Tamandua tetradactyla: one gene and its partner. The protein of the gene in region 2 purifies or fractionates together with the protein of the main gene of each other region. This does not show direct contact. Links are inferred from orthologs where the notes say so. Each region holds a gene or a part of one and is shown on either strand. Other genes may lie near its edges.

The links. Proteins that work in one complex are often made in the same cells at the same time.
Region 1: the proteins of SMC1A (region 2) and USP13 purify together in Homo sapiens (affinity purification with mass spectrometry; 5 studies listed by BioGRID and IntAct, with this or other methods). This does not show direct contact. The link is inferred for Tamandua tetradactyla from reciprocal best matches to the Homo sapiens genes SMC1A and USP13.

The regions. Positions count from the first base shown.
Region 1 is NC_135331.1:78,117,951-78,128,512, reverse strand, and holds the start of USP13 (ubiquitin carboxyl-terminal hydrolase 13), read right to left. Parts: upstream 5,162-10,562; 5' UTR 5,113-5,161; coding exon 4,954-5,112; intron 1-4,953. UniProt on the Homo sapiens protein: Deubiquitinase that mediates deubiquitination of target proteins such as BECN1, MITF, SKP2 and USP10 and is involved in various processes such as autophagy, endoplasmic reticulum-associated degradation (ERAD), cell cycle progression or DNA damage response.
Region 2 is NC_135353.1:116,101,267-116,112,073, forward strand, and holds the start of SMC1A (structural maintenance of chromosomes protein 1A), read left to right. Parts: upstream 1-5,753; 5' UTR 5,754-5,858; coding exon 5,859-5,967; intron 5,968-6,247; exon of another isoform or gene 6,248-6,303; coding exon of another isoform or gene 6,304-6,343; intron 6,344-9,564; coding exon 9,565-9,753; intron 9,754-9,864; coding exon 9,865-9,977; intron 9,978-10,807. Other genes in the region: RIBC1 (RIB43A-like with coiled-coils protein 1), read right to left, coding at 897-1,013. UniProt on the Homo sapiens protein: Involved in chromosome cohesion during cell cycle and in DNA repair. Central component of cohesin complex. The cohesin complex is required for the cohesion of sister chromatids after DNA replication.

The sequences.
Region 1 (10,562 bases), on a different chromosome or scaffold from region 2:
AACAAACGCTCTTTAGGGTCCTCTAAAGTATTTAAGAGTAAAAAGGAGTTCTGAAACAAAAAAGCTAAGAACCACTACCCTAGAACAACTTTTCAGCTAGCTGCTTTTAGAAGGAAATTTATGTCACATGAAATTAATGCGATTTTCTTCATGAAGCTGACATCTTCAGAGAGAGAAAAATTTTCAAGATTTTGTTAGATTTTGCTTTACTATCTTATATCCCTTTATTCATTAGATGGGGTTTTCCACAAAGATCCTAAGTGAAATTATTTCACAAGTAAGCAGCACAATGGCAAGTCGTGTTGCCTGTAGGGCAGAGTGTACTGCACAACACTGAAAAGCACAGATTCTAGAGCCAGCCCGCCTGGATCCAAATCCCAGTTCTAACACTTACTACCTGAGACCCTGGTGCTTTAGCTTCCCCATCTGCAAAGTGGTGATAATAACAGTACACAGCCCAAGATTGCTGCAAGGATTAAATGAGTGAATATATGTACAATATAGGAGGAGAATGATACCTAGCACCCACTATGCGCTCTATCACAGGGTCCCAAATTTCAGCATACATCAGTTACCTGGAGAGCTTTAAAACACAGCTTGCTGGCTCCCACCCCCCACCCCACCCCCACCCCCAGTTTCTGCTTCAGCAGGTCTGGTGAGGAGCTTATAATCTGCATTTCTAATAAATTCCCAGGTGATGCTGATGCTGCTGGCCCAGGGACCACATCTTAGGAACCACTGCTCTCTCTCTGTGTTAGCTGTCATCATTATGATTGGCAATCCATGAGATAGTGCCAGGCACATCAGTAAATATTTGTAGAAGGAAGGACAGACAGACTGAAGGATTTACTAAACCCCAAGTATGATGCTTCCCCACAAGTGGCTGGAGATCTCCAAGATTCTCCCTTTGGCTATTTAAACCAGCACCTGTCCACCAAGACCACCTCCTCAGCATCTTACAAAGGTTCCCAGGAAGGAGAAGAACCAGCAGTAGCAGCTCATCATCACCAAGAGGTCTCGGAGCTTCGGAGGAGAGTGGGAGGCCTTAATGGGCTGTGTCTCATCCTCTCAGGCCACCTCTCTGACCCCTGTGTACAGCTGATTGCCACAACAGGTGGAGGCTAACAGCCTAGCCTGGACTTCCCAGAGGATCTCTTACTTCTCTGCTGCCAAAGATCTGGGAAGCCTGTGGGAGCTGTTCAGCTTCATGGCACAAAGGTCAACCTGGAAGAGTGAGGGACTTTCCACCCCCCTGGGGCAATCCTTGACCTATGGGGGATGGAGCCACTGGGTAATATTCCCCTCTTCCAGGTCTCAGGTGGTCAGTTCTGACGCACATTTTACCCTGCCTCCAAGTCCCCAACAGGACCGAGCACCAGTTACCCGCCATGGTGACTAGCTCAATAACTCATCTAGGATTGAATTACCTTCCTTCCCTTTGTCACTATTCCTTTTGTCACTATTCCACCTCTGTTCCCTAGGTACCTTTCCAAAATAAACGCCTATACACAGAGTCCCAGTCTCGCTCTCAGCATTTTCAGCAACCCCAAGCCAGACAGTGATTCAAATCCCAGCTCTGCCACTTACTATAAGACAAGTTCTCCATTCCTGTTAGTGCTAGGGGAGGGGCATAATTAGCACAAAGGTGGCATGGCACCATGCGTCCCTAATGTCCCTAAGCACACCTAGTAGTACTTCAAAAATATGAGTAACAAAGGTAAAAGGAAATGAAATGGTAGCTAAATAAGGGAAGGCAGACTATAACTGCCGCATTTTATGATATAGACTCTGTGTAGACCTTCAGAGGAAAGGATGAAGTCAAAGCAGAAAAGGGTGGCCAAGAAAGAGCCCTGAAGGATGAACAAGAGAAGAAAGTGGTCTTGGAAAAGGAAATTAGTCTCACCCACTGAAAAAACAGACACTGGTCTCCCCAGAAGGGCAATCTAAAAATGGAGAGGAGGGAAGGCAAAGTATGTTCCCATCAAGTAGAGTCTCAACAACCAGAGAGATTGAGGTTTGAAGGTGGGTCTGGGACATGGAAAAACCAAACCTCACTTGTGGTGGTTTGGAGCAGCACATGCCCCAGAAAAACAAGTTCTCAAACTTGCACCATTCCTGCGGGTATGAGCCCACTGTAAGGACTTTTGATGAGGTAAAATGTGCCCCACCTCAATCTGGGTGGATCTTACTCCTATTACTGGAGTCCTTTATAAGCAGAATGAAATTCAGACAGAAAGAGAGAGAAAAACCATGAAAATCAAGATACTGACAGCGGAGTCTGGAAGAGAAGGGACAGGCCACGAGAGGCCACCACGGGCACTGCCACGTGACAGGGAGCCCAGCGCCCAGGACCACTGGCAGCTGGCCCCAGAGTGCCAGTCTTGGAGAAGAAAGCATCACCTTGATGACACCTTCACTTGGACTTTTTTCCTTCCCTCAAAATCAGCAGCCATTAAATTCTCATTGCTTAAGCCAGCCCACTGCACGGGATTTACTCAAACAGCCGAGGAAACTAAAATATTACTCACTCATCTCAAAATAACTGCTATTGAGCACCAACATGCTAATCCCTAGAAGGTGGAAACAGAGGAAGGAGGGGAATACTGAAAAGAGTTATCACACTGTCGGCTCAATATTCAAAGCCCACAAAGGTGAAAAATGGCAAAAATGTGAACATGGTGCCTTAGACACAGTAGGTACATTGCAAAAAATCAGTGATACACAGTCTACCTCCATACCACCTTAAACCTACTACCCACACTAGCTTTCAATAACTGATACATAAAATTAAGATCCTTTTCCAGGTATGCAAGACACCCCATCATCTACTCTCCACTTCTTGTTTCTTGCCAAATCAATCTTTTTTCTTTCAAATACATTACAGGCAAATAACAAGAAAACATTCACATTTTATGCATTTGCACGTGTAAGTTTTCCCTGCCTGGAAGGTTGGGCTCCTTTATTTCTAGCCATCACTATCTATGATCTTCAAAAACATCCACTGCAAGAAAGTTGGGGGATTTTTCACTCAACTAGTCTCGATCTTTTCTCAACCAAAGTTCCACAGTCCCATAGCACTTGTGGAATAAAGTTTCTGGCATGTTTTGCACCAATGGATTTTGCTCTGTGAGGTTCTTATAACAACGCAGGTACAAACTGGCACAAAGCAGGGGCTCAAGACACCCTACTAGATTCCTGACAAAGTGTTAAGTACCACAAGGAAAGACCTTGCATTATCACGCACTGTGCTTTAAGCAAACTTGTTATAAAACCTTCCCTCTCTTCCTCCCTTAAAACATAAATAATGAAATATACTGATGCACTGGCTTTGTAAATAAATCCAGTCACCTCCAAGGAACTATTGTGATATGAGGGAAAATATTTTATATGAGACAAGATGATTCCAAAATAGTGTTTGACACATGGTAAGCACCAATAACTATTAGTGGAAATGAATTTTTTAAATTAGCGTTCTCTCACACCTGCCACACACTATGTGGTAAAGATTCCCAAAAAGAAAGTTTGTAAGCAGAACTTGAAAAGCCAACCAAACCAAATGTAGAGAAAGTAGTTTTGCTAATTTTACACACTGTGCTCTCCTGAACACTCAGTCCACTTTCTTCTTCCTGAAGTTCACAATTGGTCAATTGTTTAAGTTAGGTGGGACCATTATCCCTCTTCACCCTTAGGAGTTGCTGGTGGGAAGACACCCAACACTGGAAACAAAATCTCAAAGTGTCACTTTCATATACTTTGTTGATAACACGATTTAAAGGCACTGCTGACAGTTGTCTTATTAGTACCACCACTATATATTAAATACACAAGGCATTAAATACAACCATTTCACTTCATTCTACATGGATCTCTTTGAAAGAAAAAAATAATTAACAAAAGGTGAGATTTTATCACCAAATGATCTGGGATTCACATAAAAGAAAAGCTAAACATCACAGAAAGGATACTAATTCTGGGGTTCCAATATACCAAAGAAAATTGCTTGGAAACCAACCAGCACCAACTCACAAGATAATAAAGAATGCTTTGGAAAATGTGTCACTCATTTGTTTTTGCTTTTACTTTTTTTTTCCCCCTCCAATGAGGGGGAAATACATAATATGAATAAATGTGTTGAACTATCGTGAAGTCTCAGTCGTCGCAATCAATGCACCTCCAAACGCTCTGGGATCTGCTGGGCGACACATGAGATCTAAAGTGTGTGGATAAAAATAACCCGGTCCTCAAAAAGACATGAGAAACGCCAGACAGCTGAGTCACTTGGAAGCCCATTTTGACTTGTGAAAGGAGCATTCACCCTAGGTCTCATCACACTCACACGCGCACGCACGCGCGCGCGCACACACGCAGCTAAACCCACCGCCAAGCGCCCTGGGTAGCGGGCGGTGATCGAGCCTCACTTCCCTCCAGTCTCTGAGGTCACGACTTGGGATTGAACTTTTAATCATTGATATTTGTGCATATCAGTTCCAGCGGCCTCCTTTTTAAGGGGTGAGGGAAAGGCCTTAATGACCCATTCGACCCCGCAATTCTGCTGGAAAGGAGGTGTGGAGGGGAAGCGGGTAGTGGAGGCAGCCCCCGCTCCCGGGGTACCTCAGACCCGTCCCGGAGTGGGGAACCTTGGGCCAAGCGCCCCGTCCCAGACTCAGGGCAGGCTATGTCCGGGGTGGGGGTCAGTCTCTGCATCCACCACCCCCAATCCTCGCCTGAGGGCGCGTCCCCAGCAGCGGGAATCTCTCACGCAGCCAACCTCACTGGGCGGGCGAACTGCGGCGGGGACGCGGCCCGGGCCAGAGGAGGCGCCCGCTCGGTACTGGCCGAGCCGCGGGGCCCTAGCCCGGCCAGCGCGCGGAGGCGAAGGTCCCCGGCCGCCCCGCGCCCTGCTGCCGCCGCCTCCAGCACCACTGCCCCGGGCCCCGTGATCCTTCCACGTACCGGGGAGTCGTAGGAGAAGGCACACTCGTTCTTGTAGACCCGGTCCCCGGACCTGGGCACGCGAATCGTGGGCATATGGGGCACCAGCAGCTCGCCCAGGTCCCCCGCAGCCATCTTCCTGCCGCCCGGGATGCCGAGCAGGGCACCCCGCCGCTGCATGCTTGCGCCGAGCCGAGCTGGGTCTGCCCGCGCCGTGGAGCGGCCGGGCCCGGGCGGGCGGCCGGAGCGGAGCCGGGCGGGGAGGGCGGCGATGGGCGGGAGCGGGTACCCGGGCCTGGGGCGGGGAGTGGGGGGGACGCTGCTATTTTTACTCCAATGGCGGAGCGCCGGCCCCGCTGCGGCATCGGGCGGGGCGCGGGGTGGGGGGGCGCCGGCCGCAGCGCACCGGGGAGGGTGCGCGGGGGCCTGAGAGGGTCTCCGCTAGGCTGTGGGGGACAGAGAGGGACGGATGGGGACTAGGGGTCTGGTGGGGGGTGGAGGGCGTACCCAGAGCCTTGGCACGGAGGAGGAAGCTGGAGGGAGCCCCGGAAAGGAGACCGGGGGGCTGCGCCCCCCAACATCTCAGGGCCGATCGCGGTCTTCTCTGTCATAAACCTCAGGGTGACCGGGAATACCTCCGAGGCAGCCTCCACAAGGAGCGGCATCTGGGGGTCTTTGAAAAGGCTGATTTTCTAAACGGCCGAAAATAGGAGCCGGGTCTTGGTGGGCCTGGGTAGGGATGGAATTCGCTGTGACGATCCAGAGTCTAACGTAGCAGCCCAAATCCACATCTGCCTGGTGCACCTCGGTTTTGCCTCGCCAAGCATTGTTCTTCACTTAAAAAAAAATCCGAAGCTCAATAAAAGAGAATAGAATAAGATCTGATGAGAATAGAGGCATATTTTGCATTAATAGACGTTTTTCTTGCATTTTGGGGGGAGTGGTTTTTTGCAGGGCGAGAGAAGTTTTTAACTAAAATTTTCTCTACCTTTGGAACGTCTTACGCGCGTTTCAAGGTCCGGGTTTAGAACTTTAATGGCCAGATCTGGAGTCCTATGCAGAACAGTACATATAGAACTGCCTTGCTCTTTCCGTTTCCCAAAATAAATAATGAATGGGTTTGGACTGGGAGGTTAGATATTTGTGAACAGAACATACCACACAGCATGCTCTCATTTTCTTTAAAAAAAAAAAAAAAAAGACTTTAAACTATGGGTTCTATTCTGTAACTACACTCAACTTACATACAAAGCGGAATACTATTACTCTACCAGTGAACAAAATTCAGAAATAGCAAGAAATAAAGTACACCAAAACACTGATTTCTATAAGCCTGTCCCAGATCAGCTAGTCCTTAAATTCCTCTTTCCTTTACATCATTTTTCTTTTACTCTTCCTGACTCTCCAGATCTGTGGGTTTCCTAGGAAGAAAGAGTTACCTGGAGTTTAATAGTACATAGACAGGCCAGCTTTCTCTTGCCTTGCTCCCTGTTGCACTAGTATTATCCCATCTTTGCGCAGATACTCTGAACCAGCTTTTATTTTGAATTTATTCTCACCAGCATATTACCTTCTAATAGTATCAGCACCTGCTGCAAGTTCATGGATGAAGAGTGCTTATTCAATTACAGAAGAAAACTTGATTCAAAACATTCAAAACTTGAAGTTTAAAATACTTTGAGATTAAATGTAAATTAAACCAATGAGACACATTTTTCATCCTTCAGGCTGATAAAGATACACCAAGTTGGGAAATGTATCCATCCTCAAATACATCGATGGAAGGAGTGAAAATGGTAAATCTCTTTGGTAGGAAATTTAACAAGACCAATCATACTGTATGTGCATATACTATTTTCCCCGCAGTTCCTCATCGGGACATTTATTCCACAGGTAAACTCACACTGTGTAGGGGTATCTGTTGGTATTTGTTCATAGTAATGAAAGAATGGGAACAATGTAAAGAGCTACCTGTAAGACATGGGTAAAATACAGTACCATTGAACAGGATGAAGGCACTCTGAATGCACTGATATGCAGAATCTCTGGTTACATTATTAGGTGAGAAAAGAGAAGTGCAAATCAGTGTGTAAAAGCAAGATACGTGCCAGGCTGGGGATATGCAGAAGAGCCTCTGGTACATCTTCTATACCAGGGACCTTTCTTTCAATTGTACAATAAGTGAATTAAATTTAATTTAATATTTAATTAAATTAAATTAAAATTATAAACATTGGCCCCCGATGTGTGTGTGTGTGTGTGTGTGTGTGTGTGTGTGTGTGTGCACGAACCATGCTGTTTGGCCAGGAAGGATACACAAGAAACTAGTGCAGTCAGCCTCTGTGGAAAGGAATAGGAAGGCCAAGGTTAGAGGGGGACTTACTACCACTCTCCTTTCCTGTACTGTTTACATTTTTATCATGCACAAGTATCGCTTTGAAAAATGATTAAAACTCAATTGTAAAAATAATCCAAGTTCAATACCTAGTAATATTAATAGAAGCTGAAGACAATTGTAGCATCATTATTAAAGTGCTTATAATGGCAAGCATGGAAAATGGTGATATTTGTGCAGCTCTCGGGAGGATACTTCTTGAAGCTGGAGGCTATTCGTGTGCGAGTGTCAGTCACTGCAGGCCAGGCAGGGGACTGGAGTCTCATCACAGCTGAATCCCATCTCTGTGCAGCAGAACTCCAATTGCACAACAGTTGGAAAATTCTAGGGAAAAATGGACCCCGTCTACTCAAAGATGTTTCTACAAATCTTAGAAAATATCCTTATTAAAATTACCATTTTCATATATTTGTAGTATGTTAGTTTAAAAAGAAACTTGCACAATAGCATAGCAACTGGGTAAAGGTAAACACACATGTTGAGAAGTCTGAAAAGACATGTACATATTTAATAGTTAGATTTAGAATTTGGTTATAGGATTTTTTTTCTATATTCCAATGTCTTCAATAATGTTACATTTGTTTTATAATATAAAAATGTATCAAGGGCGAGCAACCATGGCTCAGAGGCAGAGTTCTCGCCTGCCATGCCGGAGACCTGGGTTCGATTCTCGGTGCCTGCCCATGCAAAAAAAATGTATCAAGACAAAAAAGTTAGTAAAAGAAATATCACAGAATTAAGAGATTAAGTCTTAATCATGACATGTTTAGAGAAAAAAATCCCATTCCAACTACTGAATATTTTTACTTAATTTTTTAAGTTGCACATATGATTTATAACCAGATATTTTACTACTGGAACGGTTTCTAATGTGGATCTTGATCAATGAGCAAAAGTGAAGTAAGGATCAGTGAACAATTTTAACTTCCAACATAAGTTTAAAGAGATTTCAGAGAGCCTAAGACTAAGAACTGCATTTTTGCCAGGTTGAGATGTCCAGGCCACCACATGCTTTACTGGCCAAAGCCTCCTCCCCTAGTGTGCAGACAGGAGCCCGTGCACTCGAGCACCTTTCCAGTCTAGTACTCAGCTGTCCTTCAGACCTTACCCTCTATCCCTACACTTCTGGTAAGCTTGATTTACTGTCCCCTAAGAATAGATATATTTGTCTCCTGATAAAGGCCTTTCAAAGCTTAGTATTTATGTACTTGAAACTGTGGTATACCCCAGAACCATGTTCTTTCATCCTGACTCAACATTATTTAGGGTGGGACACATTGATTAGGCTGTTTCACAGAGATGTGACCCACCCAGTTGGGGGTGGGACTTTTAGATTAGGTGGTTTGCATGGCAATACATCTCCACCCATTCAAGGTGGGGTTGCTTATTGAAGTCCTTTAAGAGGGAACCATTTTGGAAAGAGCTCAGAGTCAAGAGAGACAAGGACAATTTGGAGATGCTTGGAGTGCCAACAGAGAGAGCAGACACCTTGGCACAGATGTGTGGAGATGCAGAGCCCAGCAGACATCACCATGTGCCTTCCCATGATATGCTAAGCAAACCAGAAGCCAGAAGGATCTATAGGGGCTGAGTGATCATTTTGAAACCAGAAGCCAGGAAAGAATGCAGATGCCAGCCACGTGCCTTCCCCTGTGACATGTGGCCTTTCTTGACTCAAGGTATCTTTCTCTGGATGCCTTAATTTGGACATTTCTATGGCCTTAGAACTGTAAGCTTGCAACTTAATCAATTCCGTTTTTAAAAGCTGTTCTATTTCTGGTATATTGCATTCCAGCAGCATTTAGCAAACTAAAACAGTATTTTTTCCATTAACCCTCTTCTGACTGCTCCAACCCTCAGTGACCTATTGTTAAAAATTGCAGCCCCTCTTGCCTACACCAGTTTTGGGATACTGCCTCGTGACATCTTTTGTACTATATTTAATTAGTCTTGGTTCCATGTCTGATCCCTCTATCTGGAAAGCAAACTCTGGAAGAAGTTACATTTCTTGATGTGACTCATGAAACCTTGTACATTGGGGGATGCTCAGTGTTTAGGAATATTGCCTGCCTGGAGTGGCTGTGCTCTGTTTATTTTCAACGCTAAATAAGTACCAAATGAAGGACTCGCATCAGTGATCTTGTAATAGATATATTTTGCAACCTACTTTGTGTTTTTTAGGTAAAATTCATTGCTGCACAAATATTATTCCAAGAACTGATGGAGGTTAAATTAAAATATGACATGAATATGACTAAAGCCATGAAGGGGAATTTGAATAATGGGAAAACTCGAGCTCAGATTTCTTCCAATAATGTGCAGTGATCTGGTAAAGTCATATATGGTAATAGCTTATTGTGGAGGCAGATCCATAAAATTCTGTATAAGGGCAGATAGCCTCCGCATGTAAAACAATAAGGCATTGGTTAAGAAATGTATGGCATTTCCTGTTTGAAAGAGTTCTATAAAGCCTTTTAAAATCATGTGGTATAAGAATATGCATTGACATGGAAAAATGATCACTATAATACAAACTTCAAAAGCAGACTGTAAATGAGCATATATATACTATTATTCCATTTAAGCACAAATGCACATATATACATATTCATAGCATGGCAAAAAGATTAGATTGTAATAAGCCATATGTTAACTGTGGTTATCTCTGGGTGATGAAATTAATCTTGGTTTTTTTTTTCTTTTGTGCTTTTCTTTGTTCTCTAAACCTTTTGCATTAAGCATCTATTTCTTTTTGTGAATAAGAGGGAAATAATTTATTAAAATACCACTGATCATATCAATTGTCCCTTTCATCTGCCCTCTTCTCTTACTTGCTGCCTCTTCACTACTCATTTAAAAGTGATCAGGTTTCTGCTGTTAGGTTTTTGGACAATCACCCTACTGAAAAGGTAGGTTCCCATTGGAACGAGCAGACTCTTTGAGTAGCTCTTAACTCAGATGAGGTAAGCTGTTATTCAGTTAGGAAGAAATCTGAGATGCCTACTCACCTTTTTGGTTTCCCGATGTGTAAGTCACCACAATCCTTTCAGGAGGCTGACTCATAAGGTACTCGCAGAGGTAGGCAGATTGTCTTTCAGACCATTCTGACAGCACTGTCCTCCTCATCCCATCACCATTCCCACACACACCCAGGACAACGTGTCCTCCACGCAGGCATAGAGGAGCTCTAGGTGAACACAGCAATAGAATACCAACCGCAGGACCAGGGGCTGCT
Region 2 (10,807 bases):
CCTACTGCCCAACACAGTGCTTGGTGCACAGAGCAGGCCCTGAGAAAACGTTTGCTAACTGGATCTGAATTAGAACACTCACCCCTCAGCAGACTACTTACTCTTGTCAGGCTCTAGCTCAAGTTTTCAGAGCTGCTGCCATTATGTTAATCATTTCCTCAACATTTCCTTTTCTTAGCCTCATTTTACATAGGAGGGGCCTGGAACTCAGAAGACAGGTGACTTATCCAAAGTCGCACATCTAATAACAGCAGACTTGGCCTTTGAACATACATATGGTGTCACTCCCAGAGTACCATGCAGCATTTCCTCCATCAACTAACCCAGCAGTCTTTTTGTTGTTGTTGTTAAATTATCAATATTTTCTATTTATATTTTCATTATAATTCATCTAAATCATTTCAAAATAGGAAAAAGAACACAGATTATGAAAAATAAGTGTCCCTCCCATCTCTATCCCTTGGTCTGGTTAACAGTTTCTTGTATAGTCTTCCAAATGTAGTTTAGGCATTATATAATACTAAATATTCCTTTTAACAGCAAAAATACACCTGTATTGTACTAACATATACAACTCAAAACCAAATATTCTTTAGACCATTTTTGTCTCCATGTTTACTCTCTCTCAAGAACCAGGGCATATGGCCCAGAGCTAACCCAAGAAGAGTTAGCTGTCACTAGCCCCCCTTCCCCAGTCTTTTTCCCTGTAACCCCCCCACCCCTCAGGCCCTTCCCAGGCCAGTGAGGTGGGTGTCTTCTCCCCCTCTCCTTTCTTTCCAGCCCTAGGGCCTGCTTAAGTCAGGGTAAGGGCTACAGTTGGTCCTGGTATGTCCCTCTCCAAGTGCAAGAGTGGGATAGCCCATGGTTCTAAGAAATAGTCTCTGCTGCCCACTCACCCCTATAACTCGGTTCCGCACATTGAAGAATTGGCTCTGTCGTTCCTTTTCTCGGTTTCTTCTAGCTTCAATGGCTGCTGCCTCCTTAGGATCTGAAGACAGGTCTACCTTATGCATCCTGGAGCAAGGGTGAGGTGGATGGCCAATCAGTGTTGCTCATCATCGATTATGTTCCCCCTTTCTTTCTCCCTACAATATCCCACCAGTTATTGATTCCTACTGATTTTACTTCCTAATATATTTCATATCCGTGTCCTCCAACTCTGCTGTCACCACCCTTAGCCTCACAATTTGGTGACAGACTGTTATGCCAAGGAGCCTCACTGGCTTCCCTAGCTCCAGTGTTGCATTCTCTAGTTTTCTCTGATTTGACTACCATAGTGATCTTTCTGAAGCAAATCTGACCATGGTATTCCTCAGCTTAAAACCTTGTACCTATTTCCTACAAGTTAAAGTCCCACCTCTTTGCCCAATGTATAAGAGACTTCATGATCTGACTCCTGCTCACTTCTAGCCTCAAACTCATTTACAACACTCCCTCATTCTCATTATGCTTTACTCCGTTTTCACCATCTCTGTAAATGGCACCACCATTCACTAGGTTGCTCAGGTCAGAAATGCAGTAGGTATCTTTTGATACTCCTTTCCCTCACTCCCTCTTCTTTCAAAATATATCCTCAGTCTGTTTGGGATAGAGTCTGTCTGGTACAAGCCACCATCATCACCTTCCTGGATTACTGCAAGTCTCCATTTTGATCTCCAGCTTCCTCTGTTGTCTCCTATAGCCCACAGAATCATGCAGAAACCAGAGTAAGCTTTCTTGCCTAAAATAAAATTTCCCCTTTCTTTATTTTTATTTCTTATTCTCTAGTCAAATGAGAGGCTTGAGGTCTTAAATTTGCCCATGTTCCATCTTATTTGGGGAATCCTTCTTTTTGCCTGTGGGCCAGCCAAAGCCAGTAAAAAAACTTTCAAAGGAATCTGATTATGCCTCTCACCTGCTTAAAATCCTCCAATTCCTTCCCACTGCCCTGAGAATCAGATCCAGACTCCTTCCTGTGGCTCTCAAGATCTGGTTTGTGCAGACCTTTTTACTTCGCCTCATACTACTGTCTCCCCTTCTCACAGTGCTCTACGTGGACTTGCCTCCTGTCAGCTCCTCCAGCAGAATAACTGTTCCCACTTCAGGGCCTTTACAGATGGTGTTCTTCCATTCTTCAACTCCTATAGCTAGTTCCTGCTCACTGTTTCACCATTTTATCAATGTGAGATATTTGATATATACAACAGAATAGATATAACTCATATGTAAGTTAGAAAGTATGTTAAAATAGAGACCTATGTACCAAGTCCCCAACTTAAGAACATTATTGATAATGCTGAGGTGTCCTGTATCTCTTCTTTCTCACTCTCATCCCATCCAAAATGTTACCATTCCCTATCACTTATAAATATACTTGGTGTATCTATGATTTCCTGAACAATATTTTTTTAGTTTTCTTGTTTTTGAACTTATGTCATTCTGAATTCCTCTGCATTTTGCTTTTTTCACTCAGCGTTCATTCTGTTGTTTACCAAATATCTATGGAGTGCCTTCTAATGATCAGGCATTACTTTAAGCTTGTGGGAGGCATCAAGAAAAGACAAAAGTCCTGGCCCCTGTGTAAGCTCCTTTCTAGTGGGGGCTGACAGACCGTAGAGTAAAACATTAAATATTTTGTAAGAAGATAAATGCTATGGGAAAAAAAATAGAACAGGATATAAAGGGGATTGGAAATGCCCAGGAAATGGGGCAGTATTACAATTTTAAATATGGAAGTGAGGGGGGACATAATTAAAAGGTAGCATTTGAGCAAATACCTGAAGAAGGTGAGGGGACTAGCCACCTAATTAGCTGAGGGGAAAGCATTCCAGATAGGGAACAAGTGCAAAGGCCTTCAGGTGTAAGCATGCGAGGCACATGTTCAAGGGAACACCGAAGAGGCAGGTGTGGCTGGAGTGGGTGAAGGAGAGGTAGGTAGGAAATGACAGAAAATGGGCGGCTAAATCATGTAGGGCTTTGTAGGTCATTGTAAAGGCTTTGAGAGAAATGAATAGGGTTTTGAACAGTGTAATGATGAGTCCTGGTTTTGATTTTTAAAGGGTTAATCTGGCAGCTTTGTTGAGAATAGACTGAAGGGAGGGAAGCAGGAAGACCAGTCAGGATATTATTGTAGTAGACCAGGAAAGAAATGATGGTGATTTAGATCTGGTCAGTAGCAGCAGAGGTGGCAGGAAGACGATAGATTCCAGATATATTTGAAGGCAGAGTCAACTGGACTTTCTTATGGATTGGATGTGAGGTGTGAGACAGAGAGATCAAGAATGATTTAAAGGATTTGGGCCTGAGCAATCATGAGGGATGGAGTTGGTATCAAGTGAACAGTCTGTGTAGGTAGAACAAGTGTGGTGTGGAGGGATAATCAAGAGATTAGTTTAGGATATGTTTGAGAGTTGGAAATGTCTAGAGTTTAGGAGAGAAGTATGAGCTAAGAATATGAATCTGTGAATTAATGACATACAAGTTTTGTGGTAAATTTTATTATTGTTCAGAAACATGTGCTGCTGCTCTCTACAGAAGGATTATACAGCCCTACCTCATTGCCGTCAGGGTTAGCCACGTGATTTGCTTTGCCTTATGCAATGTGAAAAACTGGCATGTGTCATTCTCAGGCAGAACTAAGAATCATTACATGATCTGTCACTTATTTTTTTTCTCTTCACTCTCTGCTATGATACTGTCCCAGGCAAGGACTACTTCTTCAGCCTAAGTTCTGGATAGATGATATAGAGCAGAGATGCAGCCAACCCACACTGGAGAAGAAGCATGAGTAAGAAATAGACCTTTGTTTTTATAAACTACTGAGATTTGGGGATTGTTTGTTACCCCAGCATAATTGTGCCTATCCTGACTGAAACAAGGGAATTTGAAGCTATAAGACTGTATTAAATCTCTAAGGGAGTGAGGGTAGATAGCTAAGATTGCCTGAGAATATTAGGAAGTTAGAGGAGGGGAGACAGGGAGAGGAGGAGGCAGCATAGGATGCTAAGATGGAGTAGTAGTTAGTAAGGTAAGAGAAAACCAGAAGAGTATGGTGTCCTAGAAGCTAAGTGAAGAAAGTACTGTTAGGAGGAGAGAGTGATCAACTAACTGATGATGGGTTAAGTAAGATAAGGCCTGAGAACAGAATGATTTAGTAACATCAGTGTCACTGATGACCTAGACAAGAACAGTTTTGGTAGAACCGTGGGGATGAAAGCTTGATTTAAATAGGTTCAAGAGAGATTAGGACTCTGCAGAACGAACAACCCAGTTTATTAAAAAAAAAATGAGAAGAGAAAGAGGAGGAAGAACTTTTAGATTAAAAGAGATGTACATACAGGTAGGAGAGTTTCTCTAGCATAGATTTAAGAGTGGAAGTACTGGACCATATGGTGTATGTGTATTTAACTTTACAAGATAATGCCAAATTGTTTCCAAAAGAAATCATACCAATTTACACTTTTACAGCAGTGTACTGTATATAGTTTTGGTCAGTCCACATACTTGCCAACACTTTATAATGCAGACTTTCTTTTCCAAATTTGTGGCTTATCTTTTCACTTTATTATTACTTTATACTAATTTTATGGTAACAATGCATACAAAGGGATATGGTTAACACACATGGAAGTTATGAAGCACAACGATAAAATGGACACCTGTAAATCCTCCACAGCACCCAGAAAACAGAACATTATCAATACTTAAGAAGTTTTCTCTGGGCACTTACCCATTTTTTCACTTTTCTCATAGTGTATTTTGATGAATTTGAATGTAGTCAGTTTTACCAATCTTCTCCTTTAAGCTTAGTAGTTTTTATTTACAAAATCCCTCCCTACCCTGAGGAAGGAAGTTAAAGGGGAGAGTGTGAGTAGGAGAAGGGGACAAAGCAGAGTGGGAAGAAGGGGGCAAACAAGGGATGGGGCATAGAGGGGAATGGAATAGAGGGAAAGAGAAGGGGGAGGCATGAAAGGAGAGCCAGACGGAGAAGGGAGGAAGAATGAGATGGGGAGCACTGACTTAGGGATACTGACTTCCGGAGGTACACACAAAATACCTTTCTCAGTCAGGAGTTTCCGTTTTGAAGCTTCCAGGTTGAATCTGGTTTCAAGTAGTCAAGTGGTTTAGGTTCAAATCTGTTCTTCGAATACAGCGGCAGTCTCTCAACTTTGGAGGACGGGAGGCGGAAGGCAGTGGATAGGGCAGTACGTCAGGTCATAACCTTCACTAGTCCGTATCTCTGCCACCCGGAGTCCACCCCCACCCCCCAGCGCCCTTCACACTCCCATCTCGCTTCAAACCCCGTCCCACCCTAGACAAGGTCTAAACTCACCGAATTCGGAATCCTTCCTCCCACCCTCCTGGTTCAGCCCGCCCCTCCCCGGGGTCCTTCCAATTTCCGACCCAGTTTTTGTTCAAGCCTTTTGGCCGAACAAGCTAAAGGCAAGAGCCTAGCTCCCACCCTACTCTTGCCCTGAGGAGCCTGACCCTGCTGTGAGTTCTGAACTTCTCAGCAGGCGTGGGCTCTGGGCCCGCCTGCCCCCTCAGATGCTAAACTTCGCTTTGAGACCTCTCCGCACTGCCTCCTCTAAGACTTGGCCGGCGACTGCAGCGGTTTGTGTTGCCACGGCAACAAGAAAAGGAGGCGGGACCCAACCACCCGCCGTAATCTCACGCCCCGGCAAAAGATTAACAAAATCTCCACTCCAGACCAAAGGCCCCGCCCTTTATTTCCTGCTCGCGACGGAAGTAGGAAATCCCGTTTGGCTTGGACTTTTTCTCGCGAGGATTGCCGTCCGCCCGGCCTGCACTGCGGTGTTTCCCGCGCAGGTTACCCCACTTCCCTGGCGTACGGCGCGGCTCCTCGTACCGCTGCCGCCATGGGTTTTCTGAAACTGATTGAGATCGAGAACTTTAAGTCGTACAAGGGGCGACAAATCATAGGACCATTTCAGAGGTTCACCGCCATCATTGGACCCAATGGCTCTGGTGAGAAAAACCCGGCTGCGGCCCAGCTCTGGTCCCGGCCTGGATCCCCTGTCCGGCGGCAGAGTAGTACAGCCCAGTCCGTGCCACCTGAAAAGTTGCAAACCCTACGGGTTTCCTTATTCCTCCTGAAGGAGTTCGGCCCGAATTCGCTCTCCCTGCTTGGGTGCTTTGACGCGAACCTCTTTCCCGAGTGTCAGTTACCCGCGCTTTGAGCGGCCCCGCTCTAACCCAAGTGGTACCGGCCGAACTCTACTTTGTCCCGCCCACTACCCCTCCCGCTCAACCCCCTTGGCACAGGCTTCCCTTACCCCGCTTCATCCCTCCGGAAGCTGTAGGATGGTTGGTAATCTCCTCCCGTGGCCTTTGGTACTAAACGGTGAGCCTTAGCTCAGCATCCCCTTCTGCCTCGCATTGGTATGCCCCAAAGCCGCCTTTTTTCACTTTTCTCAGGAGGCGGCACTTTTGAATCTCGCGTCTTCAGAGTGCTTGGATCCCCTTCTCCTTTCACTTCAGTGGTGTGGTGCCTCAGACTTGCCCCGTACCTACCACTGAAACTGTCCAAAGCCGGTACTCATTCGCTTACCAAATATTTTAATGCTAACTGCTTATCAGGGGCTGTCTAAAGTGCTGTGGAAACAGCGGAGAACGAAATACAAGTCTGTGCTCTTAGGAACTTAGTATCCTAGTGGGGAAAGACGATGACAAAGAAGGAGGAAAGAAGATATTTTAGATTGTGATGGGTGGTTTGAAAGAAATAAGACCAGCCGTTGATGTGGTAGAGTGATTTGCAGGGTGTCTTTAGAAAGAAAAGGTGGTCAGGTGAGGCATCTGTGTCATATCTCAACTCCCCATCTCTAAATGATGCACCATGGGTTCTCCCACTTAACCCCAGAAGTGGTCCATTTGAATCCTGCTGTACTGCTTCACCCCAGAGATGTTCTACCTGAATAATTTTCTAGCCTTTGCTGAAGTACCTCATACTGAATACCTTTCCTAGATTCCTACCTGGCTTTGCCCAAACCAGGGTTACTCAACAGCAACACTATTGACATTTTGGTTGGGAAGATTCTTTGTTGTGGGGACATTCCTGTGCATTGTTGGATGTTTGGCAGGATCCCTGATTCTGTCCTCTAGATTTACACAAGCACCTTCGTTCCCTGAGTGTGGCAATGAAAAATATCTCTAAACAGTACCAAATGACCCCTGGCAGGCAAAATCACAACCTCTGTCCCCCCTTCAAGAACTGCTAGTCTAGACTAGCTAATACTGAGGGGCGGGTCCCATTCCAATTTCTTGGGGTTTTGGTGCAGTGACCTCTGTGGAAAGAGCCAGGATGTACCTCTTGACACTCAGTCCCCTCAGCAGTTCAGAAAGGCCCTTAGCCCGACTACTCCCTCCGCAACCATATTCTTCAAGGTTCATCTCTCCAGAAGGCATTCCTTGATTCCCCTCAATCAACAATTGCTCTTCCTCTCTGATACACAATAGACACTTAGGACACGGTGTTTATTTTCTTCTGTCTTGTATTCATCATATATATTTTTGTATCTTTGTATCACTGGTCTATGAGTGTTCTGAAGGAGACATTCCTTTAAATGTTTTGTTATTTTTGTAATTCTAGTTTCCAGATCATATTACATGTTATGAAAATTTTGCAATATTGAATAATTGTGTGTAGAGAGACCTTTGGTTGTGAGATATTCTCATCATCCCTGGAGAGCATTCAAGAAACCCAAAGGTTGGAAATTGGTGCCTAAAAGGCTGACTCCTAGTCTCTGTGATGTGCTGTAGTCCTGCTGTGATGAGGTAGACAGAGCTAAGGGTCCAGACCTGAGTTAGAATAGGACCAACAATTACTGAGTACTTACTGTGTGTCAGGTATTTTAGTTATTGGGATCCTTTACATTTAAATTCTCACAATGATCCTAGGAAGGAGATGCCATTATCCCCATTTTATAGATGAAGAGTCTGAGACATAAAGAGTTGTGATAACTTGCTGGATAGTCCCTCAGACATTGCCATTGTTCTTCAAAGCCTATGCTCCTGCTGCTCCAACAGAGAATTTTGTGCCAAGCATTGTTTTAGATGCTTTACCTATAAGTGATGTTTTTTTTTGTATTTTCCAGACGAAGGAATGGAAGGTCAGAAATAGTAAGCAGTTTGTTCAAGGTTACACAGTAAGAGGTAGTTAAACTAAGATTAGAACTTGGTCTGTTTTACTAGTGCCTGATCACTGTCTTATACTGCTTGCAAGGAAGGACTTCCAGTGTCATTTTTATGACTAGGTGGAAAGGCAATGGAAATCAGGACCTCAGTCTATCATATGACATGTTTGGGAAGTATCTTGAGATAGAATTTATAGTGATTAAACTGTTCCTCTCCAATACCCCCCACATAATTCCTGTCTAAACTTTAAAAGAAAAAAATTTTTTTTCTGATTATAAGCTAAAGAAAACAAAAACTCTAACTCCATTACTGAAAACATAGCCACTCATAATGTTAAAAGTCTTGTTTGTTTGTTTGAGTAGCTAATACGTGGTATAAAATTCAAACGATCTCAAAGGTATACAATAAAAAGGAGATTTCCCATTCTCAGCTTCATAGTTTCCTCCCGAGAAGCAGCCATTGTTAAACTGTTTACATTTTCATATTTTTTCCTTGTGCCTTCCTCTCCCCTCGTTTATATTATGAAAATATCCAAACATATGTATGTATTTTTCCTAATCATTGGAAGTAAATTGCAGACTTAATGGGAATCTTTACCCCTTAGTCCATCAGTATTCTTCTCCTAAAATCATCATCTTCCTATATTACCACTATACCATTATCACACCTAAGAAAATCAGTTTCCTTACATCATGATATTTATATGTAAGCTTCCCTAAATGCACCCAGAATGTCTTTTTTGGTTTTGCGGGGGGGGGGGGGGGGGGGGGCTGGATCCAATCAAAGTTTGTGTACTGCATCTGGTTATGTCTCAGTAATCTCTTGTGTTCTGGAACAATTCCCCTGGCCTTTTTTTTTTTTTTTAAAGGTACTTTTTGAAAAGACCAGGCCAGTTATCTTATAGAAAGTTTTGTGTTTGTCTGAAAGTTTCCTCATGGTGTCATTTACCATATTTTGCTATCTGCTATATTACCTGCAAACTAGAAAGTAGGTCTAAGGGTTTGTTTAGATTTAGATTTGGCCAAATACTTCATAGATGATGCTGTGTACTTCATATTTCATCACAAGAGGAGCATGCCTTTTTTTTTTTTTGACATGGTTGCAGTCAAAGTGTATATTAACTTTTGGATTTTGCTTGTTTCACCAATTGGCATGAACCCACATCATTAAAGGTTAAAGAACAATCCATTCTGTGAAGATACCATTTCCTTATGTGGGTTTCTAGTTTTGTTTATTATGAATAACAACTGCAGCAGGACTATTTTCCTAAGCCTTTGACCCAGCACTTAGGTTGGACACAGTCTTTATGAGTACTCTTCCATTAGTCTGATCACTGGATGATTAGGAAACATTCCTGCTCTGTCAATGCTTCCTTTACTCTTTTTCTTTCTTCCTGACGTCCCTCTTCTGCTTTGTTCCCTCTTCTCTTAGGTAAGTCAAATCTCATGGATGCCATCAGTTTTGTGCTGGGTGAAAAGACTAGCAACCTGCGGGTAAAGACCCTGCGGGACCTGATCCATGGAGCTCCTGTAGGCAAGCCAGCTGCCAACCGGGCCTTTGTCAGTATGGTCTACTCTGAGGAGGGGGCTGAGGACCGTACCTTTGCCCGTGTTATTGTTGGTGAGTGAGGCTTGCCAGAAGTTTCTTGTTGGGTTCTAGGAGGTGGCTGGACTAATTGGTTGGGGTAGGAAGGAGGCATGATCCTCAGCTGACTCATGTATTGTCTTGCAGGGGGTTCTTCTGAGTACAAGATCAACAACAAAGTGGTCCAACTACATGAATACAGTGAAGAATTAGAGAAGTTGGGTATTCTCATCAAAGCTCGTAACTTCCTCGTCTTCCAGGTGGACCTTTTTAACAATTGTTAGATATCTACTTTTTGCCAGCCCCTGTCCTGTCCCTACTGGGCCTGCTCCATCTCAGGGTTCATCATCTCACCCCTGGACTGATGTACCAGTTTCCTTACTGGGCTTCCTAATTCCAATTCATTCCCTAGGCAGGTTCATCTTAGAAAGACACAAGTCTCTCTCTCTTCCTTCTCTCCTTAAAGCGTTTCAGTGACTCCTCATTGCCTTGTGATGGTGTGGTCTCCAGACTAGCAGCATCAGCATCACCTGGGGACATGTTAGAAATACACATTCTCAGGCCCCATCCCAAACCTACAGAGTCAAGAGACTTTGGGGTGGAGCACAGCAATGTGTGTTTTACCAAGCCCTCCAGGTTATTGGGATGCATGCTAAAGTTGAAGAACCATTGTCTTAGGATAAAATCCATACTAAGCCTGTCATTCAGGAAATACCACATTTGATTCTTGCCCACCTTACTAGCCTCATATGCCAATACTCTTCTTCTCCAGTCCTGCAATCCAGCCTAATTAAACTATTTACAGTTCCCCAAATTCACCTGCTTTCTTTGGTCTCCAGGCTTTTGCATATTATGTTTTCTCTTTATGGAATAACCTTTTATCTCTTTCTTACTTGGTTAGTTCTTCCACATTTTCCAAACTCAACTTAGATATCCCCTTTGGGAAGCTTTCCCAGATAGGTACCTGTACCATTCCCCTACCCCCAAGCTTCATTTAGTCCCTTTTTCTGTGCTCCTTCTGTCTATGCACATAGCAGTATTATCTCTGTGTCTGTCTCTGATTCCTCGAGCTCCTCAAAAGACAAGGAAA